Linked DNA regions of Xenopus tropicalis. The protein of the gene in region 1 interacts with the protein of each later gene in a pairwise test. Links are inferred from orthologs where the notes say so. Each region holds a gene or a part of one and is shown in the gene's direction. Other genes may lie near its edges.

Region 1 (3,828 bases):
AAATGCTGGTGGGCCCCAGTCCTTTTAGGCCCTGCTTGTCTGGCACAAAGCTTTTCATGTATATGTAATTTAAGAGTGAGGCAATAGTGCAGCCAAATAGACTGGTATTAAATCAAGCGAGAATGCCTGCATCTCTGCTCTTTAATTCCCATCTGTTGATTACCACATAATATTGAGATTAAAGCTTATTTACACAAGTAAGCATTTATACCCATGGGTCATTTTTATAGATTCTGTAATTTGGCCCAATATCTTTAACATATCACCATGATTCCATTTTATTAGCTTTGATCATCCTAAATATTTCATTAGGGGGCCTGGTTAATGTATGTGAAATTAGCTTAAAGGGGTGGCCCACCTTCACACATCTTATTGTTTTTAAATAATACACCACAAATAAAGACTTTTTTCAGCTGCTTTTTATTTTTACCATAAGTTTAAAAACAAATGTGTTTATTATTTCCTACCTATCATATTTACTTTTGCCTGGTGATTGACTCTCTTGATTCTTATAAAATCAGTTGTTGACATTGTTTAGGGGATGTTCACCTTTTGTAAAGTCTTACAAAAGTGTTAGGACTTTTCAAATGAAGAACTTTTTTTACTTTTACTAAGCAGAAGTCAGTAGGCTTTGTTTGAATAGTAATCAGACAGCTCTTACCTAGCCTCCAGGTGAAGTGCTTATGAGCTATAAATTTCCTGTTTGAACAGCATCTGTGTTCTTCAGTACTGCGCACCATGCCATGATGTAGGGTCTGCGCACATGAAAAATTTCATCAAGAGTCTTACTCGCTGCCAGTCTCTGCATTTATGGTGGAGGGAGGGGTTGGTGACTCCCTTCTACAGTGGAGTGAGTAAGGGTAAGTGCTGCCTTTGTTTATTATTTAGAAGATAGATTTCTGCTTAATAAAAGTGCTTCTTTTGCAAAGACTACTAAAAAAAACCTCTGTATAATCCAACCCAACCCATTCCTCAGCTCAAGTGTTTGCTGCTCTTTAATTTAAAGTGGACCTGTCACCCAGACATGAAAAGCTGTATAATAAAAGCCCTTTTCAAATTAAACATGAAACCCCAAATCATTTTTTTATTACCACATCCATACCCATTATAAAAGCATTTAAAAATCCCAGCTGTCAATCATATATTGCCTGCCCCGCCTCTATGCCTTAGGCATAGAGGCGGGGCAGACAGTTACTTTCACTTTGAATTCAGGACTTCTTAGATGTTGCTGCTCTCCTCACATTCCCCCTCCCTCCTAACCATGTAATTTTGTAACCAGTGCATGGATATGGGCATCGGGTCCCCCCATACTGGCACAGAAGCAAGATTTTGGCAGGATGCAATGCCTGCTTTGATAACAAAACACCACAAAATGGTGCCTGCCTGCTTGCTGCAATTGTAAATTCCAATGCTGAAGGTTTGAATAATTTATATAGTGTAAGTAAAGTTTATTTTGCTTGACAAACACAATAGAAAACAATTTAGAATTATTTCTTAAGGTGACAGGTCCACTTTAACAACTGGTGATTTGTTTTTTTTGCGCTCAGAATACAGGAATTTTTGAACTTTTATTTCCAGTTTTAGATTTTGTTTAGTGCAAACCATTTAATAATTAAAACAGCAAAATATATTTTCAGCACAAGTCCTGTTAAACAAGGGGTATGCTCCCCCCTCCTGTGCACTAAGCCCCCACTGTGGGCTTAGTGCACAGGTTTTTAAGGTTTCAGTCCATTTGTTATAATTAAATTATTGGGTTTTATTTTGTCCCTATTTATTAATGGCATTATTAGAATTGATTAGGATTTCTCTCTTTGCAAGTGTTTTCTAAACATATACTTGTGAGTACCATTTGGGGAACTTGCATTTTTATAATATGGTTGGCTGTACATTGTAGAAGTAAACTTTGTTTTTGTTAGAAATAGGTTTTTACCCTAACATTATTTTCTCCTCAGCAAACAACAGATGGGAAGCCAAAGATTATAGACATTATTGACACAACGGGAAGTGGTGATGTGAATACCAGCACTGTTCTTGAGCCAAAAGATGGAGTACTTGTAGGCCTTTCTGGAAGAACGTTAAAGGTATATACAATTCTGTATTTCTTTTTAAAAACATAATTTCGAAGTAAGTATTGTTGAAACACTTGAAAATACATTAATTCTGAGTGCAATTTTATTAGCTGGATTTTTAAATTCTGGATTTTTTTTCCGAATTCAACCTGATGATTATGTCCTTTTATTATTTAAACAATAAAGTTCAATAAATAAGGCAAATGATGACAATAAATTGTCTGCATAGTACCTAATTCAGACAGCTTTCATTTTATAATTTAGCTTGGTGTTTTCATGTTTGGTGTTTTAATTTTATATTTTTGTAGATTCCCACAAGATGGATAAATCCTTCTGGCAAATATCACATTGGTATGAAAAATGGTTTTGACTTTTACCCTAAGGCACTGAAGGAGCGCTTGCAGGTAATGTCAGAGAACTTGCTTTCCTCTATGTTGGCTTATCAAAACTATTAGAAATAAGGTTATAAATTCTGCAGTATATCTATTTTCAGACTAATATCTTCTATAATGGAAAATTTTTAGTAGTCGGTATCAAATATAAATTCTTTAAAGGAGACATATTGGATAAATGGGGAAAAACACTAATTGTTTAGGCAATTATGAATAATATATGGTGCTGGTTTCACTTTGTGCTAAAAATGAATCCTATCTGTAAAAATGGCTGATTTATTGGAGTTCCCTATAGATTCTATGACTTCTCTGTCCATTAGAATGAAGGGGGGGAGTGTCCTAACGGTCCCTACCAGAAGCACAGTAGGAGGGGGAGAGCCAATCACAGCCCTGCACTCACACAACCAAAGACAAGCTTAAGTTCCCTATCAGTTCAGCCTAGCTGCTGATTGGTTCCTATGCTACAGTGCAGTGTACTAAGAGCCGCCGTCTCCCATGCACATCCAGAGAATTCAGCCAGCAGGAAGTGGAACAGATGGGCGGGACTAGTGGGGTTTTGGTGGAATTTCTCAATAAATCAGTCCAAAACTCAATTTTTTGTGGGCAGAATGCAAGTTGGAATTTGCAAATCCTTCAGAACAGAGAGGAGAGAGTGTTATAGCAGAGGTGATACTGGTCTGTATCTTAAAAACTAAACATTTTAAATAATAAGAATGAATTACAAAATTGTTTTTTTCTGATTAATTACAACACTGTAGATTGCACTGTGTTAATCTTAGATTTGTATTCATCTACAGAAAGAGCGTAAAGAGAAGCTTTGGGATCCTATCCATCGAGCTGTACTATCTGAAGCCTGCAAGAAACAGGAAGAGTTTGACACAAACTCCAATGCTCAAGCTCAGGTTGAAACAGAACTAACAATTTCAAATTATTATTTTAAGGCAAAAAAATCTTGTCTGTACTTATCTTTTTAAAGGAGTGGTTCACCTTAAATGAACTTTTAATAGGATGTAGAAATTTATATTCCGGGACAATTTGCAATAGGTCTTTCTTTGTTGGTTTTCAGTTATTTAGCTTTTTGTTCAGCAGCTCTCCTGTTTAGAATTTTAGCAGCAATCTGGTTGCTATGGTGTTCTATACCCTAGCAACAAAGCAGTGGTATAAAATAGATATAAATCTAAATAGTAGAGGGCCTGCATAGAAAGTTAAGTAATTAAAAGTAGCAGTAATAATAAAGTTGTAGCCTCACAGAGCAATAGTTTTTGGCTGCCGGGGTCACTGACCTCCATTTAAAAGCTGCAAAGAGTCAGAAGAAGAAGGCAAATAATTCAAAAACTATAAAAAATAAATAATGAAAACCAATTGCA
Region 2 (3,828 bases), on another chromosome or scaffold:
TAGTCGGATCGGGGACCGATGCAGTCCCCAAATCGACAAGCGCCTATACCCGTCATTTTAGTTCGATTGTTTGGCCCCAGGGCCAAACGACCGAATTAGCCCGATATTGCTAAGAAGATCCGCTCGCTTGGCCACCTTTAAACAGGATCCCCTCTGAAACCAAATAATGTCAGTAGGCATATGCTAGGGACATACAGCTGACATACCATGTATCCTTGTTGCAGATTCTGATAATATTACTAATCATTGTCTTTGCCCTTCAGGAAAGCGGCATCTGTTATTGCCAAATATCCCTCTAAGATCAAGAGTGGGACAGAGGCCAAAAAGCTGGTGAGTAAGGGTGTTTTTACTTTCTGTGCATTTGATGCAGGATTAAAGGGGACATGCTCTATTTACAATAGATGGGCGCAAAGCTATAAACGTAGTTTTACATGCCAAGGATTGCATGAACAAGGTTATGCGGTCATTGCTCTGTTGAGATTATTAAACCTGTCCTATCTATATCTACCCAATTTTCAGCCAGATATCAGTCAGGAGGCCCGTCTGACTGTCCCATACATGGCCAGATAAGATGCCAACTTGGACTGAAGGAGCCAGATTGGCAGCTAAAATCTTCCCATGTATATCCACCTTAGGGCTGTGGCACATGGGGAGATTAGTCGCCACAATTTCCCGAAATTGCTGCGTATGCCGTCCCACTGGCAATTTACATTCTCGCTGGTGCGATGCCATTTCGGGGGATTAATCTCCCGGTGTGCCACAGCCCTTAAGGGCGCTTTGTCATTTGCGGGAAATCCACCTCTCCCACTTACAAGAAATCTCCTTTTCTGATCTTTGTGGCCTGTGGGAGAGAAGATTTCCTGCAGGTGTGCCATGGTAGTGTCTATGTCAATTACATGGATATTGTCACTCTCTATTGATAATGCACACTCTACAGGTTGGGGTTTAGTGGATTGTGACCTTAATAGCAGACTATATCTGTAAGTGAGATAACAGTCTTCTAAACCTCTCCTTGTATCTTTAGGGTGAAGATATATGGGGCAATTAGTCGTCGTGATTTTTAAAAACCCAGACGCCACAGTGGCTTATTCCATATGTGGACATACAAGTCAGTTACACTTTACTGCTGTGCTGCAAGTTGGAGTGTTATCACACCCCCCTCCCAGCAGCCGATCGGCAGAACAATAGGGAGCAAGATAGCAGCTCCCAGTAGGTATCAGAATAGCACTCAATAGTAAGAAATCCAAGTACGGCTTCGGACTCCTCCAGTTACATGGGAGTAGGAGAAACAATAGGTTAGCTGAAAGCAGTTCTAATGTGTAGCGCTGGCTCCTTCTGAAAGCTCAGACTCAGGCACAATGCACTGAGATTGCATTATTTGCCATGTAAACAGTGTAATTTAGAAATAAACAGCTCTCATTGTAAAAAAATCTCCTTAGTTTCATTATCAGGTAAATTACATGTGAAACTTCATTTTTTCTAATCTTGAGAGTTGCTCCAGTGTTCTCCATGACTTGAAGCTTAATGGAGTTAAATTATAACAAATGAATGAGGAACTTATCAGCATGCACACAGGCACTAAATATCTGGTTCTATTGGCAGGACAGTCAACCCTTTCCTGCCAATAAATTGCTGTAGAAGAATATAACCATAATCATGGGATTAATTCTCCTTGCAGTAAGGGAAAGCTGCTCCTGTGTGTCTCTTTATTACAGTTAATGCATTTTATTTAGCGATGCCGTTTGGCCTCCAGATCAAATAGATGTTCAGACTTTTTTAAGCTTCATGCCACCGCTTATTTGCCTGCAGTCATGCTCAGTATCTATACACCCTGAAAGTCAGGTGCCTGCTGGCTACAGTCGCTGTATTGTGCGCTGATGCTTCTGGTGAGATGAGTTCCCTTAAAATTTTATTAAAGGAAAACTATACCCTCAGAATGAATACTTAACCAACAGATAGTTTATATTATATTAAGTGACCTAAAGAGTCTTGCCAAACTGGAATATATCAGTAAATATTGCCCTTTTACATCCTTTCCCTTGATCTACCATTTAGTTATGGGCTGGGTGCTCCCTCAGAGATCGGCTGACAGGAAATAATGCAGCTCTAACTGTAACAGGAAGTAGTGTGGGAGCAAAAGGCAGAACTCTGTCCATTCATTGGCTGATGGGACCTAGCATGTATGTGTGCCTTGGCTTGTTTGTGTGCACTGTGAATCCTATGATCCCAGGAGGCCCTTAATTCTTAAAATGGCAATTTACTATTTAGGATTACCCAATGGCACATACTACTAAAGTATATTTTTATGAAAATGGTTTATTTAGATGAAGCAGGGTTTTACATATGAGCTGTTTATGCAATATCTTTTTATAGAGACCTACATTGTTTGGGGGGATAGTTCCATTGCACTCATGCATTTTCTTTCTCTTCTTTTCTAGGATGGGGTTGGAGCCAAAATTGCTGAGAAAATAGATGAGTTTCTAGCCACTGGAAAACTGCGCAAATTAGAAAAGGTAAAATATTTGTCCATTTATATGTTACTTTATTACTTATGTTCCAAATAAAAGTAATACAGTCTGTACAAATGTGCTGGAACAGAGCTGTAGTAATGATGTAAAAGTGAGGGAACACCATATTGTTGAAATCCGAATGGCAGCGATAGCTATAACTACAGGATGGTCTTACACAGATATTACCCTGATTCTGGGTAGCAGAATCCATGATATATCAGATCTAGGACCAGTCTACCACTGACTGTGTGCTTGTTATGAGTGATGAGTATTGCAGCTAAGTAGCCCTGCCCTGAGAATTAGCTACACAAATAAGGGAAATGTAACCGAATTGCATATTCATGGGAGCAGCCAGGTTTCATCACTCAGCTTAAATATTTTCCATAGACATTTAATTGTCATAAACATATATTGCCGTTCCTGTGGTTTTCCATGGAGATGTTCCAGGTTCCGCTGTTATCATTTTAATTGAATATCAATTGCAAGCACCTTCTCCATACATCTTTGTTTCTTCTTCAGGAAGCATACATACATATATATGTGTGTTGTATTTTTTCTTCTGTAGATCCGGCAAGATGACACCAGCTCCTCCATTAATTTTCTTACAAGGGTCACTGGAATAGGGTGAGTACCATTTTTTAGTACTGTTATTCTCAGCAACAGCACAGCGAGTAGGTATAACAGGAGTATAACTAGTTTGGCTCCCTAAAGGGTAGGGGGAAATGTACACAAGTCTGCTGAACGTGGAAAGGCTGTATATGATGACTTAGGCTTGGGGTGTATATTCTTCTAATTCTATGTTTGTATTGTGTAACAGACCGGCAGCTGCTAGGAAGTTGGTGGACGAAGGAATTAAGACATTAGATGGTACGTACCAAATGCTAATGAGTTTCATTTTACTTAAGTGTTAATGGTCATGGCTTTGTAGACTTTATCTTAAGGCCAGATGTATTAATATCCATAGAATACAAGGAGGCCAGTCTTGAAATGATGCCTTGACTGTGTTTCTGCTGAGACCAGTCCATCTGGCTTTAGCCATAAGGAGGGGGGCAGTGCAGGTCTCCTTTAAAGATTTTTGCTTAATGTGAGAGTCTCCTTTCTGGCCAGGGCCTAAAGGTTGTAACTAAATGCATGTGTTGTAATTCCACAGTCTATCACTATTGACAGTCACATATTTAAAGGGTTTATTTTCACATGGTCCAATGTTTCAATTGTACAGGAGAGAAGGTTGATGCCCATATCCATGTCACATCTATAAATAATCCTGTTCTCTTGTTCTCCAGATCTCAGAAATAATGAGCATAAATTGAATCACCAT

The links.
Region 2: the proteins of tpp2 (region 1) and polb interact in binary tests that used the Homo sapiens proteins (3 or more experiments, as listed by UniProt). The two-hybrid records come from large-scale screens. The link is inferred for Xenopus tropicalis from reciprocal best matches to the Homo sapiens genes TPP2 and POLB.

The regions. Positions count from the first base shown.
Region 1 is NC_030678.2:119,708,670-119,712,497, reverse strand, and holds part of tpp2 (tripeptidyl-peptidase 2), read left to right. Parts: intron 1-1,952; coding exon 1,953-2,081; intron 2,082-2,377; coding exon 2,378-2,473; intron 2,474-3,258; coding exon 3,259-3,363; intron 3,364-3,828. UniProt on the Homo sapiens protein: Cytosolic tripeptidyl-peptidase that releases N-terminal tripeptides from polypeptides and is a component of the proteolytic cascade acting downstream of the 26S proteasome in the ubiquitin-proteasome pathway.
Region 2 is NC_030679.2:130,628,651-130,632,478, reverse strand, and holds part of polb (DNA polymerase beta), read left to right. Parts: intron 1-263; coding exon 264-330; intron 331-2,438; coding exon 2,439-2,513; intron 2,514-3,075; coding exon 3,076-3,134; intron 3,135-3,327; coding exon 3,328-3,377; intron 3,378-3,793; coding exon 3,794-3,828.